Xenopus tropicalis: one gene and its partners. The protein of the gene in region 1 interacts with the protein of each later gene in a biochemical or structural test. Links are inferred from orthologs where the notes say so. Each region holds a gene or a part of one and is shown in the gene's direction. Other genes may lie near its edges. The genes, in order: dnm1, sh3gl1 and sh3gl2.

Region 1 (6,577 bases):
ACAATAAGCTGTACCCTCATACTATACTGTCTAAGGAAAAGAATATGGCACCTCCCTCCCATATGTATAAATACAAATATACAGAGAAGGAATGTTCTGGGCACACAATCAGCTGTACCCTCATACTGTTCTGTCTAAGGGAAAGAATATGGTACCTCCCTCACATATGTATAAATACAAATATACAGAGAAGGAATGTTCTGGGCACACAATAAGCTATACCCTCATGCTCTACTGTCTAAGGGAAACAATATGTATAAATACAAATATGCAGAGAGATGGCAGTGAATGTCACACAGCTGATGGTGTGGGTGGATTTAGTTAAATTTCATCTGTTAGATTTCTTTGTGTTGGTTACTTAAGAGTTAGAATATAATTTTCTCCTTCCTTATAATAAAAAGTGCAGCATGGGACCTTTTAACCTTTTATCCAGAATGCTTGGGACCTGGGTTTTTTTTGGATAAGGCATCTTTCTGTAATTTGGATCACCATAAATTTAGCCTCCTATACAATAATTTTTAGTTTGACGTAGAGAATGCTATTCTAATAAAAATTGTAATTGTTTTTATTATTTGCGATTTTTGACAACTATCTGGTTGCTATGGTCCAATTTGACCTAGCAACCAGGCAGTGATTTGAAAGAGAGACAGGAATATGAATAGATGAGGACCTAAATAAAAAGATAAGTAATAAAAAGGAACAATAACAATACAACTGTAGCCTCACAGAGCAATAGTTTTTTGGCTTCTGGGGTCAGTGACCCTCATTTGAAAGCTGGAATGAGTCAGAAGAAGCTAATAATTAAAAAAAAACTATACAAAATAAAAAATGAAGACCAATTAAAAAGTTGCTAAGAAGAGGCCATTCTATAGCATACTAAAAGTTAACCTGACCACCCAGTAGGATTGTTTTGCCACCAATTCATGATCTCTTTCTCAGGATAAAGTACAAGGGAGTCTATGAACGATGACCTTCCCATAATAGTTTTTGGATATTGGGTTTCCAGATCAGAGATCCCATACCTGTACCTACCTAACAGTAGGATAAAGGCAATGACAGGTACATTGTGTAGGTAATAACCCTATAGAACAGGGGTAGGGAACCTATGGCTCGAGAGCCAGATGTGGCTCTTTTGATGGCTGCATCTGGCTCGCTGCCAACTCTTTAATAAAATAAATAACGGGGGTGTGGCCTGCGCTCGGCGGATAGAAGATATGTTCTAAGCCTTAGAACACATCTTTTATCCACCGAGCGCAGGCCACACCCTCCTCCGCATCCGGCATCCTTGGGACACACCCTACCTTGCCCCGCAGCATCCGCGGCCAAACATATTGTATGGCTCTCGTGGAATTACATTTTAAAATATGTGGTGTTTATGGCTCTCTCAGCCAAAAAGGTTCCCAACCCCTGCTATAGAATGACTCCATTGTAAGAATGGAGGGGGAGAATAGTACATATGCTGCAATCTCAGCTTCAGCCAGCAGGTGGCACTAGCAGGCCAGTTCAATAAAAGCTGTCTCAGAGCAGGCATGTAAATTTATACATCACATATTTGCCATGCATGGCAGATGGGTATTATATCTGTGCCTGTATATAGTACATAACATTTATATATGATGCTGAATCAACACTCCCAGTGAAATCCCAGGAACAGAGCACTCACTTCTGGGAAGGCAAATCCTGTCCTTGTTCGGATCAGATGCTGAAACATTTTTACAACAGTATGGAGAGGAAGGGGGTCATTTACTTCTTCAAGCGTGCCTAAAAATTTGATTACTGGTGGCACAAAAGCTGTTAAAGGGTTACATAAACTCATGTGCAGAAGGAGTGTAGCAATCAGTGAGTGCTGGCTTATACTTCCTGCCTTGATTTGGAGTGTTTTTGATGAGTCCTGGTATAATTAGGGTTGCCACCTTGTTGCTATTTTACCAGTCTGGCTGGTAAAAATTATGCTTGATCCCCATGTTATTAATGGAGAAACTAAATACATAGAAAATATATTTTACCACAAAAGGTGGCAACCCTAAGTGTAAGAAGGCCCCTATATTGAATTTCAGGGTTAGTAATAGGGCTCCCCCTAACCCGGCTTTTTATACAATATCTGTTCCTTTCTACATCATCTGGGGCTAAAGCTTTCTTCCAGTTCCTGGTGTACCAAGAAAGGCATATTTGCACATGAGCCACCTTTGTTGACAGCATTGCTGCAAGTGACAATCTGTCACTACACAATCCACATTACACTTTGCTGCACCCTTAGCGCATACTCTTTAGCATGACGCTCCCTCTAGTGGCGGAAGAAGCAAAATGCAGTTAAAATCCCACCCCCTCATCATCCTGTCAGTGCTGCCTTAGCGCACACTCCTTAGCATTAGGCTCCCTCTTGTGGCAGCAGTTGCACATTGCCGTTTAAATCCCTAAGGAGCAGCGTATGCGCTTGAGTTGGCAGTCTGGGGAAGGCGCAGAGCGCACATCCAGGAGGAGGAGAAGCAGGAGAACGTCGATCTTAGGGGGTCCTACACATCTGTCCCCGCTGCCTTTCTCTGTCACTGGGGAAAAGGTGTAAGAAGCATATTAGATCGACGTTCCCAGGCTGAGGCAGACACAAGGCAGCCTTCCATCATGGGCAACCGAGGAATGGAGGAGCTGATTCCTCTGGTTAACCGGCTTCAAGATGCCTTTTCATCCATAGGACAAAATGCCAACCTGGACCTGCCACAGATCGCTGTGGTTGGGGGTCAGAGCGCTGGAAAGAGCTCGGTTCTGGAGAATTTCGTTGGCAAGTAAGTAAGGAAGATGATGGCTCACCTACCCGCATTATAATAACCTAAGGAGATGAGGAGGGGGGCAGTATAATATGTTTATTAGCAGATATCATTCAATGGCGACTGGGCTTTATTTGGCATTTTATTATCGCGATCTGTTGCCTAGAACGTTTTATCGCGATCTGGTCGAATAGAATAACGATGAATAATGGATATGTGTGCAATCTGAGACCCAAGGGTAGGATTCACCTTGTCCAACAGGCACAGCACAGAGAGGGGTCATCAGATATGGCATTGTCCTTGTACAGAACAGGCATTCCATGGCATCGCCCAGCAGGGCATCCTGGGGGTCCCTGACTGTATATTATTAGCGGGGTACCTAGGATGCATGGATATAAACATGCTTTATAGGGGCGAATGGAGAGGAATGGAGAAATAAAGATGGGGGAGGTGTTATAGGATACAGTGTGTCTCTTCTGCAATGAAGGAAGGGGGAGGGGGGGGAATTATAGGACCAATGTTATCAGTCTGCTTATACAGGGGGTAAATATGCCTTGATATAAAGTCCATATACAGCCCATTGCTGTACAGAGCAGAACTAGGCAAATACATGATACAAAGATGAGGGATGAATTGAATGAAGCCTTTGCGTTAAGGGCACCTTTAACTGGCACTGCAGTATTATTTGTTTTTGGGCTAAGACATAGGACGTCTGTCTTTTGGGGCTTAAGGCACCTTTCTTTTTTAGACCAAGCAGTTGCCCCCCCCCCCCTTCCTACTTAATATAAGTATCCTATTTAAAATAAATAAAGCGCCCTCTATATCAATTCTAATGTGACGGCATTTTGTTTACATTGACAAATACATTGGGACTCCTTCCAGCCTGCAGAGACATATGGAAGCTATCTATCATCTATCTATCTATCTATATATCTATCTATCTATCTATCTATCTATCTATCATCTATCTATCTATCTATCATCTATCTATCTATCTATCTATCTATCTTTATATACACACACACACATGGAGTAATGGCTCAATGGATCTGCCAGGCTGACGCTGCAATCATTATGTGTATTGCTTGGTTGTGATGGGATATCCCTGGTTGGTGCATTAGGCAGTGATGGTGCAGTTGGACTGGCGTTAATCAGTTGCAGGGAGTGCTGGCTCCTCAAGGTGACACTGGGAGTAGTAGGCACCGTCCCTATGTATTTGACTGAAGGGGTCAGATGGAATTGGATACTGACATGGGAAAAAGGTGCAGGGATTCTGCACTGAATAAATATTTTGTCTCTGTTAAACAGGATGTGCCCCAGAGCTTTAAACCTGAGCAGGAACAAGGCTATGCTGTACAATTATCATATTACATAGCCTTAAAGGGGAACTACAGCCAAATACAATGTCTTTATCTAATTAATGAAAAAGTAATTCTATGCAACTTTTCACTGTCAGTGGTTTGAAAGTTATATGTAAATGCAATAGCCTGTGAAAAGAAGGAAAAGGGTTGCTCGTTGGGGGGGGGGTTAATTTGTTAGGTGTCCCCAGTGAATGTATTGGGTAACCTCAGACCCTGGGCCAGTACTTCTCATTGCTGAAAAATGCCCGGCCTGTTGAGTACAGTTGAGCTGCCATCTTCTGTCTTGCCCCAGGGATCCATTGTGGCAGCCCTGAGCAGTCACAACCAGCAGTGCAGAGAATATAAACAGCCACATCCACAACAGAAGGTTTTGGGTTAGAGATTCCAAAAAAGGTCTTGGGTTGGAAATGTCCCTTTAATTAGTAATGGCAAATCAGATGCTGGGTGATTAGCCAATAGCTATGTGTTGCGCTTAATTACTCTGCTACCTGCTTTACACTAGCAAAGCCTCCAAATGAACTGTAGGGTTAAATGAGATTACAGGCTGTGAGCGCAGTCTCTGGAGAGAGCTGGAAGCAATAAGGGATACCAGCTGCTCCTGTAACCAGCAGGAGATTTGTGCTTTACCCTGGCTGTATAATCTCTATGTGCTAAGGACGTGGGGGGTTATTTTTTTTTGGGGGGGGGGGGTGTAATAGGCAAATATATATTTTATTTGATCTAAATAAAATAAGTATCTTTTTTTGATTAAATGTTCCTGGTGTGCATCAGCATTTTTTACATATTTACATTGTTTATCTGATTTGCACCCAGGTTGTAATCCCTATAAGTGTGTGCCTCAGCCTTTTTCTATATATATATATATATATATATATATATATATATATATATATATATATATATATATATATATATATATATATATATATACTGAGATATCTAATTAGGGAGGTCAATATAAGGGCCAAACAGTTGTAGGAAAAGGCTGGGGGCATAGTGGGTAAAGAGGAGGAAGGCAGCAACCTTTGGGGGAGGCAGATGGGCCACTGACTGATACAAAATGAATAAAGTTTTCTTATATAAAGTTCCCAAGGGGGCAGTAACTTCTAGGGATGCAGCTGATGGATATAGTAAGAGAAGACATGATGGCAAAAAGACCTTTCAGTCTGTATCCCCTCAGCCGCTGTTGGCATTACAGCTATATGCAGACCAAGGCTTTCTGGGGGGTAAGATTCTGGGATTTGTAGTTGGACAGTAGCTGAAGGCCTATAAGCTAGAACCGAGCAGTATGTGCTTTGCCAGCCTTGTATTCATATGTATAGACAATGCACAGCACTTTGTATGTTCAGCCATTATGATAGCGTATATTGGTGGTAGCAAAGTGTAACTAGTGGGTGCTAATTTGTTAGACATTCACTGTGAATATTGTCACTTGGATCTCAAACTGTTACCCCTCTCCCCTGAAAAAAAGCACCAGCACAGGGTAGATTTCCTTTTTGTATCTATGTATTTTAGCAGAGTTATTCTGCAGGAAGAATGGCTTACTTCCATGTGGGTGTAGCACCCCCACACCTGTCCCTTTAATGGTGGTCTTATGCCTTTAAAAAAATGGGTGTTGGATAATGGGCAGTCTTCTCCTTTACAAGCTGCAAGCCTGTAGGACCAAACTGTGGTCCTGGCAATCTCTCCCTATAAAAGCTGAAGGCATGGGAGTGACTACGCCCTCTGACTCAAACCAGCCCCCAGGTCAAGAATGGCAGTCTTTGAAAAATATGACCAGAGGTAAATAAATGGACCACCATAAATAAATAAATGGACCACCATACTGGGTTTACCTTAACGTGGTATGGTGGCTTACCAATCTTATGATCATAACTTTGTAACTAAAACCCCCTGTTTTTTGTAAATACATGCACTAGCATAGACAATTTAATTATGAAACAGGGGACCAGGGAATGTGCATTGATCAATCCCCCTCTCTTTTTGTATGCTTGTAGATTTCCTCTAAGCACTGCACTGTCACGGCAGGGTCCATGGAACTCTTGTGGCTGCCCAGGGCCATTTACATGCATAGTATAGTAAAATCAGCAATGTCATGGGTCAGGGCCCCAATACTAAGAGCATGGTTGCTTCCATGTTGTACCAAGAACACCCAACCCCTCTAGACCATCATTTGTGTTTCTTGCAGGCATCTGCTTGTCAATAACATGCATGTTCTATCCCTTTAATTACGTGTTTCATGGTAGCACTGACAGATTTACCCTTTGTGTCCATTACTGTGACCCTCATTTACTAACAAAAGTGCATAGTGCCCCCCCCCCCCCCCCCCCCCCCCCCACAGTTCAATAACCCATATTAACTAATCAGGATCAGTATTGTGCAGTTTATATGTTGCTGCAGTGTAAATGAAACCTGGTGCCTGGTAGAAATAACCAGTTTGGCATATGATTGCCA
Region 2 (6,629 bases), on another chromosome or scaffold:
CACAGGAGGTTGCAATTTTGTTTGCTGTGTCGTTGACACTGCATAAACTTAGTATGCTCTCTGCTGCTGTTGAGAAGCCAAGCTTAAGTGGGCCATTGGAAATTTTCTTTCATAAAGTTGATGCAACAAGAATGAGTATTGAATACTGATGCTGCATCCACTGGTCTTTCAGCTGCCATGTACTTTAAATCTGAATTATTTACTTTGTACTGTAACTTTTATATCATATTTGTACTATATATATATTAAGTTGCTCCCTAAGTTTAGAGCATGTGCTGTGAATCAGCAGAAAAGAAAAGTAGACTTGATTTAGCTGAGCCATCTTTGCCTCTACTGAGTGGGTCATGAAATTCTGAATCCTTTATTATATGCAGTGAGAAAAAGAAGGTGGGGCACATAATTTATCTCTGGCTATTCTAACTTAGTCCTTACAATCTGGCACTGGAAAGCCTAATGGCTCTACTACAAAATTAGTGTAGATTTACACTTCTGTAGCAGTATGTATTTAAAGGAGAAGGAAAGTCATTTTGGCATTTTACTGCTAATAGATTTGCCACATTAGTGCCACCTAAAATGCTATATTTATTTTGCAGAAAACTTTATCATACCTGAGTAAAGGGCCCTAGAAGCTTTCTCTGATTGCAGCTGCCATTTTAGCATGGTGTTCTTAGCTTCCTGTTTGCAGTCTAGCCTATAGCTAGCTTAGATCATACATTCCTGAGGGTGGGGGGAGTGAATTTTAGGAATTCTTATGGGAGGGGGGAGCAGGAGAGGGAAGAGTTGTGCAGACTCTGGCTCTGGGAATGAAGGATTTTTCTGAGAGAGGAAGTCAGATACCCTAACATGTTTACAAAAAAGGAGACAAGAAATCCTGTGTTTCTTTTGATAGTGCAGCATTACTGTAAGCGCTTATGGCAGTATTTACATAGACCTTTCTGATAAAGCTTACTTAGTTTTCACCTTAACTTCTTGTTTAAACAGGCCTGCATCAAGCCTTTTTCTTACAAAAGCTAAATTGTACTCTCCTGCCTAACTACGACCCTGTCTCTATTTCACCTGTAGCCTCGAAATTCCTGAGATGTCTTATGTTTTCTTTTCTTTTTTTCTTACTAACTTTCTTTGTACCCATAATCTGCTGGTCTGATAGCTGACCTGTGCACTCCACTGAGATGGCCTTATGTAGAGTTGCAAAGGATCTTCAGATTAACAAAGCCAAAACATAATACAGGTATGGGACCCCTTATCCGGAAACCCGTTATCCAGAAAGCTACGAATTACGGAAAGCCTGTCTCCAATAGACTCCATTTTAATCAAATAATTTAGAATTTTAAAACTGATTTCTTTTTTCTCTGTAGTAATAAAACAGTACCATGTAATTAATCCCAATTTAGATATAAATAATCCTTATTGGATGCAAAACAATCCTATTGGGTTTAATTAATGTTTTATTGATTTTCAAAAATTCAGTCGGATTTGGGACCGCATCGGCTCGTTGATGCGGTCCCCGAACTAACTGGGCCTATTCCAGTTGTTATAATTCGATTGTTTGGCCCCAGGGCCAAACGACCGAATTATCCTAAATTCCCCCGATATCGCCCATCCGTAGGTGGGGATATCGGGAGAAGATCTGCTCCCTTGGCGACCTTGCCAGGTGAGCGGATCTTTACGTGTATGGCCACCTTTAGTGTGTGGGTGCCTCATTGTTCTGTTCTCAGCTGTCTGTTGTTTCTCTGTGTTCATTCTCTTTTAAGGAAACCTTATCTCTTCATTAGTACTTAAATATCACTTATACACAAATGACATACAGATATATTAAGACATTTTTCAACAAACCGATGCGGTCCCCAATCCGATAAAAAATGAAACATGCTTGATCAAGATCTGGATGATTTCAGGCCAGATATTGGTTGGGCAGGCCCATCGTCATTGCCCCTACATGGACCGATAAGCTTCCGAATTGGTCTAAGGGACCGATCTCGGTAGCTAGAATCGGCCTGTGTTTGGCCACCTAGGTGGGGATATCGGGTGAAGATCTGCTCGCTTGGCCAGCTTAAAGGTCCCCATACACGGCCCATAGTAGAAAGATCTGGCCTGAAATCGGCCAGATCTTGATCGGGCAGGCTAAAAAATCTAGTTGGATCGGCTCGTTGATGCAGACCCCAGACCAACTTTACCTATGCCCGTCATTATAATTTGATCGTTTGGCCCCAAGGCAATTATCCTGCATTCTCCCGATATCACCCACCCGTAGGTGGGGGATATCGGGAGAAGATCCGCTCGCTTGGCGACATCGCCAAGCGAGTGGATCTGCCAGTGTATGGGGACCTTAACAGTAGACATACTATTGAATTCAAAACACAGCAAAATAACTTACTAAAAGTAATCATTCACTGTATTTTTTTATTCACAGTGACATTACTTTTTATTAAAATAGAAAAATACCACTTGTTATTTACATAAAATATAATACCCAACATATTTGTTTTAATTAAATAATAAGACGTGCAACATTAAAAATAACATATTTATCTTGATTAAATAATATATGCCCCTGGAATCAAATATAATGATTTATTGTTCGCAAACTGTGCTCATAGTTAAACGCAACACTTCAAGATTGTGCCTCTGCTATCCTCCCCCGTTTCCTGCCTTATACCGGAAGTAAGCGGTTGCCATGTAATATCCTGAGAGAGGAGCCTGGGGAGAGGCTCTACAGTTTTGTCCGCGATTCCTGTAGTCCTGCAATCTTAGTGTACCGCAACAATGTCTGTAGCCGGGCTTAAAAAGCAGTTTTATAAAGCAAGTCAGGTGAGCGCTACATGTATTTTGAAGGCAGATGATGTTAACTGCGAAGTCTTACTTTTGAAGTATTCAAACTGTGTCCCCGGAGACACCAGCTCTGTGCATTCTTTTTTGTTGGGTGAGGGCTTGGGGAGGCGGGATGTACATCTGTATCATGTAAAGTTCGCACTCTAGAGTCGCTTTCGCTTTACACGAATATCGGCATACGTTTGTCTAAATTTGCTTACACAACTTTCGGGACCTGTGAGAATGGAATGTGCATTGTGTGGGAAGAGGCGGAGAAGCTGCTCTAGTGCCGCTGTGTATGCACGTAAACATTGTGTAAAGAAGTCATAGAAGCAATTAAGTCAAAAGATAAGCATACTAACGTTTTAGAAACATATAATGTGGGGTGTTCTTGTTGAAAATTTGTAAATCTATTTGTTGTGTATTCCCTACTGTGCGCTCTACACTCGTGATTTCTGTTAAAGGAACAGTAACATCAAAAATTAAAGTGTTTTAAAGTAATTAAAATATAATGTGCTGTTGCTCTGCAAAAAACTGGTGTTTTTGCTACAGAAAAGCTACTATATAAATAAGCTGCTGTGTAGCCATGGGGGGCAGCCATTCAAGCTGGAAAAAAGGAGAAAAGGCACAGGTTACATAGCAGATAACTAGTAGATAAGCCCAATATAATGAGGGTTTATCTGTTATCTGCTAAGTAACCTGTGCCTTTTCTCCTTTGAATGGTTGCCCCCATGGCTACACAGCAGGTTACTTATATAAGCTATAGTAGTCTTTCTGAGGCAAACACACCAGTTGTAGAAATGCAATGTAACAGTACATTATATTGTCATTCATTTTATACACTTTCATTTTTTGGTGTTACTGTTCCTTTAATTTACAGACTTGGCCAAGAGCTGACTATAAAAAAAGCCAGTAGTGTCCATTTAGTCTTTTCTGGATGTGGGGACATTTTCTTTAATTAGGAGAAAATAGTATTAGAATTTCTTTTTTAATTTTGGTGATAGCATAGGATTGCTGTGCTGCTTTTCATGTTAAGCAACCCAGTGCCCATTAAGGCAGAGCCTACCTTGCAGCTAAAACTACATTTGTGTGTACACTCTTCAGTTTCTTGGACCAAATCTGGTTAATGCCTTTGTATGGCCCTGCCCTCAGGCCAAAGGTTGAATTCCAGTGGAGGCTTGTGCAATCCTGTCATTTTTTAATTATGATAAAAATGTAATTGTTAGCTTCAGAAGCTTTAATATAGTTAATTGGGGATGCCATTTAAGTTCCAATAGGGCTTGAAGGTCTATACACACACACACACACACGCACGTGTGTGTCACATAAACTGTGCCTTATACCATGGGTTTAATGCCTTTATGTAAAGGCAGGTCATATGCCATTTATTTATTTATACCTCTAAAGGATGAATGCATACATTACTTATATAACATGACTGCAATAAATAATTGCAGGTATTGCATAAATAAGTATAATCCTTAATGGAGAAGTCAATATAAACGACTGCATGAGAAATATATACTGTTCTGTCCCTAAGCAGCAGTGTGTCTCGATATCCAAATTTGAGCTAAACAGAAATCTTACATTGACATAGGGGCTGATTCATCAAAGTACGAGTTCAAATCCCGAAATGGGTAAAATTCTGATTAGATACAATAATTTCTGATGAACTGAAATATCACGAAAATGCTTACAAAAAAATCATATTAGTCTTGATAATATCGTATTGGCGATTCAAAAGTCACGAAATTTTCGTATCCGAACAATCATAAACGGCGGGAAAACCTTTCTGACTTTGATCCTTCAGTGCATGTTTTTGGAAGCCTCCCATAGGTCTCAATGGCACTCTGCAGCTCCAACCTGGGCAAAGGAAAGGCACAATACCGAAGCTTTAATGAATCTGAAACTTTCATACTCAGCGCAACAAATACGATTTTGTCGCACAAATTGTCGCACTTTCTGTCACAAAATACAAAAAAGCCATGCAAATTAACAAAAAAAGTCGCAAAAAATATGCACAGTATGAAAACTTAGAAAAAATACTTTAGGGGGTTTGGGGTGTGATTAGCCAAAGACTTTCAGGGAGAGTAAGTGAGCCAAATGGTGGCTAACTACTGCTATGAAAGGCTTCGCTTTGTTCCACTGGGTCACAGATATGTAAATAAAAAATGTATTATTCATTATAAGTTGCATTAATATGAATACTATGGGGCCTATTTATTAAAGTACGACAGGTACGAAATAAAAAAAAATTGTATTTGATTGTACTGTGCTTATTTTCTGCGACTTTGTCGTATAGTTGCGCAAATTTTTCGTACTTTGTGACAAAACTTACGCAACAAAATCGTATTGTCGGCCCGAGTACGAAAGTTTTGGATTCATTCAAGCTTCGGTATTGTGACTTTCTTTGGGCCAGGTTGGAGCTGCAGAGTGCCATTGAAGTCCAATGGGAGGCTTCCAAAAACAAGCACAGAAGGATCAAAGTCAGAAAGGGTTTTCCCGCAGTTTATGATCGTTCGGATACGAAAATTTTGTGACTTTTGGATCACCAATATGATATTATCGTGACTAATATTATTTTTTCGTAAGCATTTTCGTGATATTTGCGATCATCAGAAATTATCGTATTTTATCCTAATTTTTCCCAATTCGGGATTCAAACTCGTACTTTAATGAATAGACCCCTAAGTGTGGAAGCTTTAATCCCCATTAAAATTGATTCAAGTATTTTCACTTTTAGTGTTAGTGGCCCTGTAATTTAAAGTCTTAATGCCCCTTTTTTTTTTTCTTAGGGCAGTCACACACACACATCCGTTGTCGCGGATGACTAATCTCCCCGCAATGCCATCCCACCGGCTAGAATACAAATCACCGGTGGGATGGCATACACAACGCCGCGATTTGCTGAAGTCGCCTTGAGAGGAAACTTCGGGAGACTTCGGCAAATCGCGGCGCGACTAATCTCCCTGTGTACCCCTGCCCTTAAATATTATTCTTGTGGTAGGTTATGTAAAAATTATCAGTGTTTTATGCAAGTGCTATCTAGTAATATTAAGAGAGATACAGATGTGAAATATTGCACAGCTAGCCAAAACTGAAGGTACCATATTTTCCGGCGAAAAATCTGGGTTAAAGTCGGGGGTTGTCTTATACGCCGGGTACTTGCTTGCAGGGCCCCCCCAGCGTCCTCCACCACCCCTCCCGCTCGCCTGATTCATCCGGCTTTAAAGGGATCGGCTATATCCACCACCCCTCCCGCTTGCCTGCTGCTTCCTCCGGCTGCTTAGGTTGCGCCCTGTGCATACGCGTCACGTCAGCGCGCACGGGGCGCAACCTAAGCAGCCGGAGGAAGCAGCAGGCGAGCGGGAGGGGTGGTGGATGAAGCCATTACGTTTAAAGCCGGATGAAGCAGCCGGAGGAAACAGCCGGACGCAGCAGGGGTGGTGGAGGACACTTGGGGGAGCTGAAGTATGTGGGGGAGGATGTTGGGGGGAGCTAAAGTATGTGGGGGAGGATGTTGGGGGGAGCTAAAGTATGTGGGGGAGGATGTTGGGGGGAGCTAAAGTATGTGGGGGAGGATGTTGGGGGGGAGCTAAAGTATGTGGGGGAGGATGTTGGGGGGAGCTAAAGTATGTGGGGGAGGATGTTGGGGGGGAGCTAAAGTATGTGGGGGAGGATGTTGGGGGGAGCTAAAGTATGTGGGGGAGGATGTTGGGGGGAGCTGGAGCATATTGGGGAGGACGCTAGGGGGAGCTGGATGATGTTGGGGAGGACGCTAGGGGTAGCTGGATGATGTTGGGGAGGACGAGCTTTAGGAC
Region 3 (6,703 bases), on another chromosome or scaffold:
ATAGGTCATTCAGTATTCAGTCTGGGGGTAGAGTTTTCCTTTAAGTTTTCTATTACCTGTACATAGAGAGAACATTAATCACTTTCAGCAGCTCCTTTGCTGAATAAGCAGTAAATAAAATTTCTGTACCATGCATGTGCTTATACAGCATACCTACCAACATTTGAAAAATGAAAAGAGGGACAAAAAGACTTGGCAATTTTTTGACCACGCCCACTTTGTGGTCATGCCCCAATTACCACACCCAATTTTTAAATTCATTTTTAAAATAGTTAAAATTGTGCCCCCAATGGCCCAATAGACAGCACCCCCATAGACAGTGCCCCCCATACACAGTGGCCCATTTGCACCCATAGACAGCAACGCCCATAGACAGTGCCCCCAATTGACCCCATAGACCGTTCCCTCAATTGTCCCACAGACAGTAGCCCCCATACACAGTGCCCCCATAGAAAGTACCCTCCGTACACAATGCCCCCATAGAAAGTGCCCCAAATTGCCCCCATACACAGTACCCCCATACACAGTAGCCCCCAATTGCCCCCATAGAGAGTACCTCCAATAGAAAATCCCCCTATACACATACCCCCATACACAGTAGCCCCAATTGCCCCCATAGAGAGTACCTCCAATAGTAAAGGCCCCCAATACACAGTGCCCCCCATAGACGCTACTTCTTGTGGCTCCTGTTCCTTATGCGGCTCCTGCTACGGCGGTGACAGGCCCTTTTATAAGGTTGCGCCCCGTGCGTACGTGTGACATCACACGTATGCACAGGCGCAACCTTATTAAAGGGCCTGTCCCCGCCATACGAGGAGCAGAATAAGAAGTAGGAGCCACAGGACTTGACGGAGCCAGAGCGCTTGGCTGCAGCCAGCGCATCCCGCTGGCCTGGATAGTTTAATGAATGTTCTGCATTTTCGTACAGACAGCGGGATGCGCTGTAAAAACCGGGACTGTCCCGCGAAAAGCGGGACAGTTGGGGGGTATGTTATATAGGGTGGTACAGATGTTGCTGGGACTCCTGAACAAAATGATGGCATGGTGCTATAAAGAAATATACATGTTGGAACCCCTCAGCAATTCTACTTTTGCTTGTCCTTTAACTATGACATTGTTTGGGTTTGAATAGCCTTAACAGAAACTGTATATAAGTGCATGCAAATTATCTGTAAATGAAAATCAAATTAATACAGACATACTGTATGTCCCTGAAAATAGCTAGACCCCAGTGCACCTGAATGTGTTCCATTACTGGCAGTTCTATCTACATACGGAGCTGCCTACAGTATGGCAACATACCGTATACTGTATTGGGATGGGGGGACACTTTAGCGCAGGCTGCAGATAAAGGCGAAGAAAGATTCTTTGCACATGCACTAGGGGTATATTTACCATTCTGTGTAAAAAGTGGAGTGAAACATTACCGGTGATGTTGCCCAGGGCAACCAATCAGCAATTAGATTTCAACTGCTATGGCTGCTATGAGCAACATCACCGGTAATGGTTTACTCCACTTTTTACACAGCATGATAAATATACCTCTAAGGAAGGGATGTATAGTAGAAACCAGTATTTATTAGCAATCACAGGGGTGGCCACTGATCAGCTAGGGATTTCATCTGTGGGTACTATACAGGTGACAACGAAGAACCCCTATTTTTCAAATCTAATTTTCCCCACCCTTTTTAACACCCAGTAGATAAGCGTTCTAAATGTACAGTATTGATATGAACTATAATTCCTGGAAATGTAAGTCCAGCATTATGCATGTTACAAGCAATGTGTGACAATTATTTAACAAATATTGAACCACTACAAAGTAATGTTTTATCACACAGTCACCTTTCAGCATAGTTCAAGCACCAGTAATGTAGTACACACGTAGCACAGGGTGTTTCAGGTTACCCTACACTGTTATGGGATGCCTGTGCAGTGAAATTGTCACATCTCTCTGGGGACCTCATCCTACTATTTCCAGTACACTAGCTCTCTACTGTATCTTGTGGTTAAACATGTGCACCTTGCAATAGCATTTTTTCCCTTTTTTACATTAAGTTTATTGAATTATTTAACAACCAGAAACAGTGAAATGACAAAGATGCTATGCTTATGATTATGCTGTGAGGTTTTGCCCCCTAGAAGAGCCCAAAGCATAGTAAAGTGCCCAAGGCTAATGGTCAGTTAGTTTGAGATTTGGGGAGTGCTAACTTGCTTTCCTAGATATCCCCTAAAGCCTAGACTGATAGCCAATGAAGGTACCTAATGTAATTGATTTACTGAATATTGTTGTAAATATAGTAGAATGAGTGATATGGTTCAACAAATGTATAAGCTAAGTATTAGCTAAGCAGGGCTTGAACCCAAATAATTTGAACATTGAACAGCAGCATCAAATTTGGGAGTGGGGGACAGACTAGAAAGACATTTAATTTAAAGAGAATGTAAGTTTTAGTAGACTTAAGATAGGAGATCCAAATTACGGAAAGACCCCTTATAAGGGATACCCCAGGTCCAGTGCTTTGTGCTTGGCAGTGATGTATGCATTGGGGACAGACAGCTAAAAAAAAAAAACTGTGTCACAGCCGGGCCCCCTTTAAAGCGAGGATATCGTCCGGGCCGGCACAACAGTACCCCCTGTGCCCCACTGATGGCGGCCCTGCACTCACATACATAAACTATATATACAACCACTAATACTAACTGTAGATATTAGTATCACAATAGCCTTGGATATTCTGATTGTTAAAGAACTCATCCAGGCCCCTCTTAAAGGCATTAACAGAATATGTTTCCTATCTGGTTTTATAGCGAGAAATATTTGCACCCAGAAGGTGATAGAATCCCCTGATGCGCCGCCACTTGGGGGAGGCCCCACACAGGGGAGGGCAGGTGGGAGGAGCCAGGCGGGCTGCCTGCTGACGTCACGGTGTCCCTGCATTAAGGCGGCAGCAGCATCACAGGATTACTGCCATCCGAGCAGGAGAGGAGAAATTCCCTTGCAGTCCCGAGCGAGGCCGGCCATCTGCACCTCTCACCCGGACACCAGGCAGCAACAACAGCAGCAGGAGGGGACCCGGCCATATTGCAGCATGTCGGTAGCAGGGCTCAAGAAGCAGTTCCACAAAGCCACTCAGGTAAATCAAGCGATTTCATGGCTGCAGCCCCCTGTCATTCTGCAGAGGGGTCCTTCCCTTTTCCCTGTCGCCCTGGCTCTTGCCTACATTATTTTGGGAACAACGACTATGACACGGATTCATCTGTTCAGCAGGTTTCGGGGCATTTGTGCAAGGCGAGCAGCGCTCTGGCTGTGTAAGGGTTAACCCCCAGGGGCATCTCCAGGCTATTTTTATCGCTGCAATTGTGATTTGTTGCTATATGGAGTGTGTGCATCAATACATCTGATTATATGGGTGTAATTGCTAGAAATCCCCCCCTCCCCCCCATAATAGATGTAAATACTAGCGCAGGATCCGGGGGTAGGCTGGAATTGATACTCTGCTTTCCCATAATATATATCCCATGGGAACCCCCACATGACTGTAGTAAGGATGGGGCTTGGTACCCCACTGGCTGACTGATAACCATGATACACACAATAAAACTTCAGCATGCCATGGGTTAAACAAAAGACAATGCCAGCTGTCATGGAAATCCAGGTCAAAATGAAATGTATTGAGGTAACTCAGTAATCTGCCTCATCTTTGTGGTTTTATTTCTATGGTGATGCACAGGCAGTAAATGCAGGGGAAAGCTGTGATCCTAGCAATGGTGATAAAATGCAGCAGGGTTATCTCTCTGTCTCTGTGTTGGAGGCGTGCAGCAGCTCTCCTGTGTATCACAGCACACTTGGATAAAATGGAGATTAGGAGATAGGCACAGCATAGAGGGATTACTAACTGCTGAAGCCAAATCATGATCTTAGATTTAGGATTTACATCAGTTTGTCTGCAGTCAGTGTTCACACAGAAATTCTCCCATAGAGGTCACCTCCTCATCCCTACTGCTGCCTGCAGCCAAAAGCTCCATGCAGAGCTATCTGATATCAGCTGCATTATTAAACAGGTTGGGGAGGTCTCCTCTCTCTCTCGGCTCTTCTGCAGGAAGGATGTGATATTGCAGTTCTGTTTTTTTAATCCCCTCTCATAGGGACACTAGGACATGATTTCAAAGTTACCTTTAATTAGGGAGTTTAAAGCCTCTATTATTGCTATTGTTTGCCTCAAGCCTTTCACTGTATATGCCGTAATTTTCAGCATCACGTATAATGACTAAAGCAATATGCTTTATACCTGCTGTGTAATAGCATTTCTCATTAGTTTTTGCACATTACCTGGTTAAGGTTGCTACCGGCTGCTATTACACATACCTAGTTGGTAAAATACTGACTCTGCCAGTAAACCTGCAATACCGGTTCTGACCTTTGTCATTTCTAGTAAATGTAGACTCTCCTGTAGGTACACCACCAGCCTGCCCAGTTATGCCCCAATCAGGCCTATTTATTTGCCCTCTTACAACCAGCTTCCCCTGATTCAGGAAAAGTTATTGCTATATTTTATGCTTGCTTAATGGAATCAGTTTCTTGGATTCTTGGTGACCTAATTTACTTGCTCTTTGGCAAACAACAAAATCTCACACTTGCTTTTTTGGAAGGAATTCTAAATATACTTTCAGGATCAGAGTTGCAGGGCTCCAACAAAAAGCCCATTTTGTATTATAATAAAAGGAGTAATGTGATGACATAACCCTGTTAAATGCACCCTGAATTAATCATCCAGGGAGCAATAGAAAACTTATCTTTGCACTCAGTGGAATAAATACCATGAGAGAAAGGAATACAATCTGCACCAGGATCTGCCCCCCAGCCTCCCAATGGCCCAGAGCCCTGCACATCCAACAGTGGCATATATAGTATCTGTTCTTAGAAAAGGAATGCAGGGGCCCTTCCCATGTTATTTTCCTTAAGTAGACCAAAATATTTATAGGGCAACTAGCATAAGGCAAGATATGACCAATATTATGTACAAGGCTGCTGTACATGCCTGTAGGTACAGATGACCTCTAAGGATTTAGTCCCCTATTTTCATTGCTGGTGGCATCACTGGGCATGCATGATCTGCTCTAGTCACGAGTAATAACTCCAGCATGCAGGCCACACTGAATACATGCATTGCTTCTGTCACTAGGAAAAGAGCTGACACAAGATGAAGGAAAACTTTTCATTCATGGCTCTTCATTGTCATAGGGCCCATGTACCCCTAGGCTGGTACGACTCTTTTAAGACAAGTTGTGAAGCCCCCCTCGCCCATGTCTGAGTGCAGGAGTGGTGGCAGAGGGGGTTCTCAGTTCGAAGATAGGAAAAGAAGCTGCCTTGGGGCTGGTATGGTAAAACCTAGGCATCTAGTACATTATTTACCAAGTGTTGATTTCTGTCATCTGTCACTACATTTTATTTTATTAGAAAGCCTGCCCAAATGCAGGGGTCAAGTGTAGACACTGAAATTAAATAGTTAATAGCTGATCCATTATTGAAAAATATTTTAGAAAGCCCTTTAATTGTGACTACATTTGTATAACTGTACATCAACTTCAACCAAGTTGCATTGCACAGTCTGTTTTTATTTGGTGTGGGTTTTAATATAAAATATTCACTGGCTGAAATTCATATGAATCTTCGACTGTGTTGTGGAAGGTTTGTAAACTTGAACAAAATAAAGGAATAAAAGGTTTAGAGGAGTTTATCTGAAAGCTCCAAGGGTAAAATTCATCAATAAATTTTTTTTTGGTTCAGTTTTCTTGCTGAATCAGCAAAACAGCCGACATGCAGTTTACTTTTTCCTGATGGGAAGGTTAAATTAACAGCACATCAATATCTGAATGACTGAATTACTTTCCATCAAAACCCTACTGACCCATGAGTACATCTCTAAATGTATAGTAACATTCTTAAAGGAGCAGGCACCTTTACAAACATAATTTCATTTACTACACCATACATAATGTCTTCATTTTGTAATGTATTATAAAATGTAGGTTTTTAAAAACAAATTAGTTTTATTTTCCTCCCCCATTTTAATTTGTTAATTAGGTTAACTGCCTTTTAAACTGTTAATGTTAAAATTAGATACATTTCTCAGGAGCATTTGAAAAATGTCAGCAACAAATGTAATAGTTATTATGTTGCAGACTAAAAGCCCAGGAAGTATGCTTCAAATGTAACAACTAATGTATGAAATTGTAGCAGTTTAAAGGGTTGGCAGTCTGGTTAGCAGAGCTGCTGGTGGAAAACATAGGTAGGGAAAATTAAACACATTTAGTGCAAAATCAGTATGTTAACTGCTGTCACACTGCTCATTGCTATAAACCTAGCTGCCAGTTACTACAGGTCACTTTCTCTGGAACCCAACTCACACATTGCATCAGTATTCACAGTATTTATTCTTTTATTTGTCTCTCCAGACCTCTTTGCTGCCAGAAGCAGTAACCTCTTCCCTGCTTGACTTTGTTGACTTGTCTTGTATGCTTGACTCTGCTAATATGATACTTTGTCTTTGCTTTATAAAAGGCCTTGGCGGGGTTACACCAGCCTCTTTTCCAGTAATATTGTGTGCACCTGTTTGTTCTTTGTCTGTTTCATGTCCCTGCAGCCCCAGACCCACTATATGTCATTCTAAAACTCACCCACTGCTTCCCAAGTTCCCTG

The links.
Region 2: the proteins of dnm1 (region 1) and sh3gl1 form a complex in vitro, tested with the Homo sapiens proteins (2 studies listed by BioGRID and IntAct, with this or other methods). The link is inferred for Xenopus tropicalis from reciprocal best matches to the Homo sapiens genes DNM1 and SH3GL1.
Region 3: the proteins of dnm1 (region 1) and sh3gl2 form a complex in vitro, tested with the Homo sapiens proteins (2 studies listed by BioGRID and IntAct, with this or other methods). The link is inferred for Xenopus tropicalis from reciprocal best matches to the Homo sapiens genes DNM1 and SH3GL2.

Annotation. Positions count from the first base shown.
Region 1 is NC_030684.2:22,790,009-22,796,585, reverse strand, and holds the start of dnm1 (dynamin-1), read left to right. Parts: upstream 1-2,445; 5' UTR 2,446-2,619; coding exon 2,620-2,780; intron 2,781-6,577. UniProt on the Homo sapiens protein: Catalyzes the hydrolysis of GTP and utilizes this energy to mediate vesicle scission and participates in many forms of endocytosis, such as clathrin-mediated endocytosis or synaptic vesicle endocytosis as well as rapid endocytosis (RE).
Region 2 is NC_030677.2:93,850,734-93,857,362, forward strand, and holds the start of sh3gl1 (endophilin-A2), read left to right. Parts: upstream 1-2,726; 5' UTR 2,727-2,763; coding exon 2,764-2,808; intron 2,809-6,629. UniProt on the Homo sapiens protein: Implicated in endocytosis. May recruit other proteins to membranes with high curvature.
Region 3 is NC_030677.2:118,223,685-118,230,387, forward strand, and holds the start of sh3gl2 (endophilin-A1), read left to right. Parts: upstream 1-3,059; 5' UTR 3,060-3,092; coding exon 3,093-3,137; intron 3,138-6,703. UniProt on the Homo sapiens protein: Implicated in synaptic vesicle endocytosis. May recruit other proteins to membranes with high curvature. Required for BDNF-dependent dendrite outgrowth.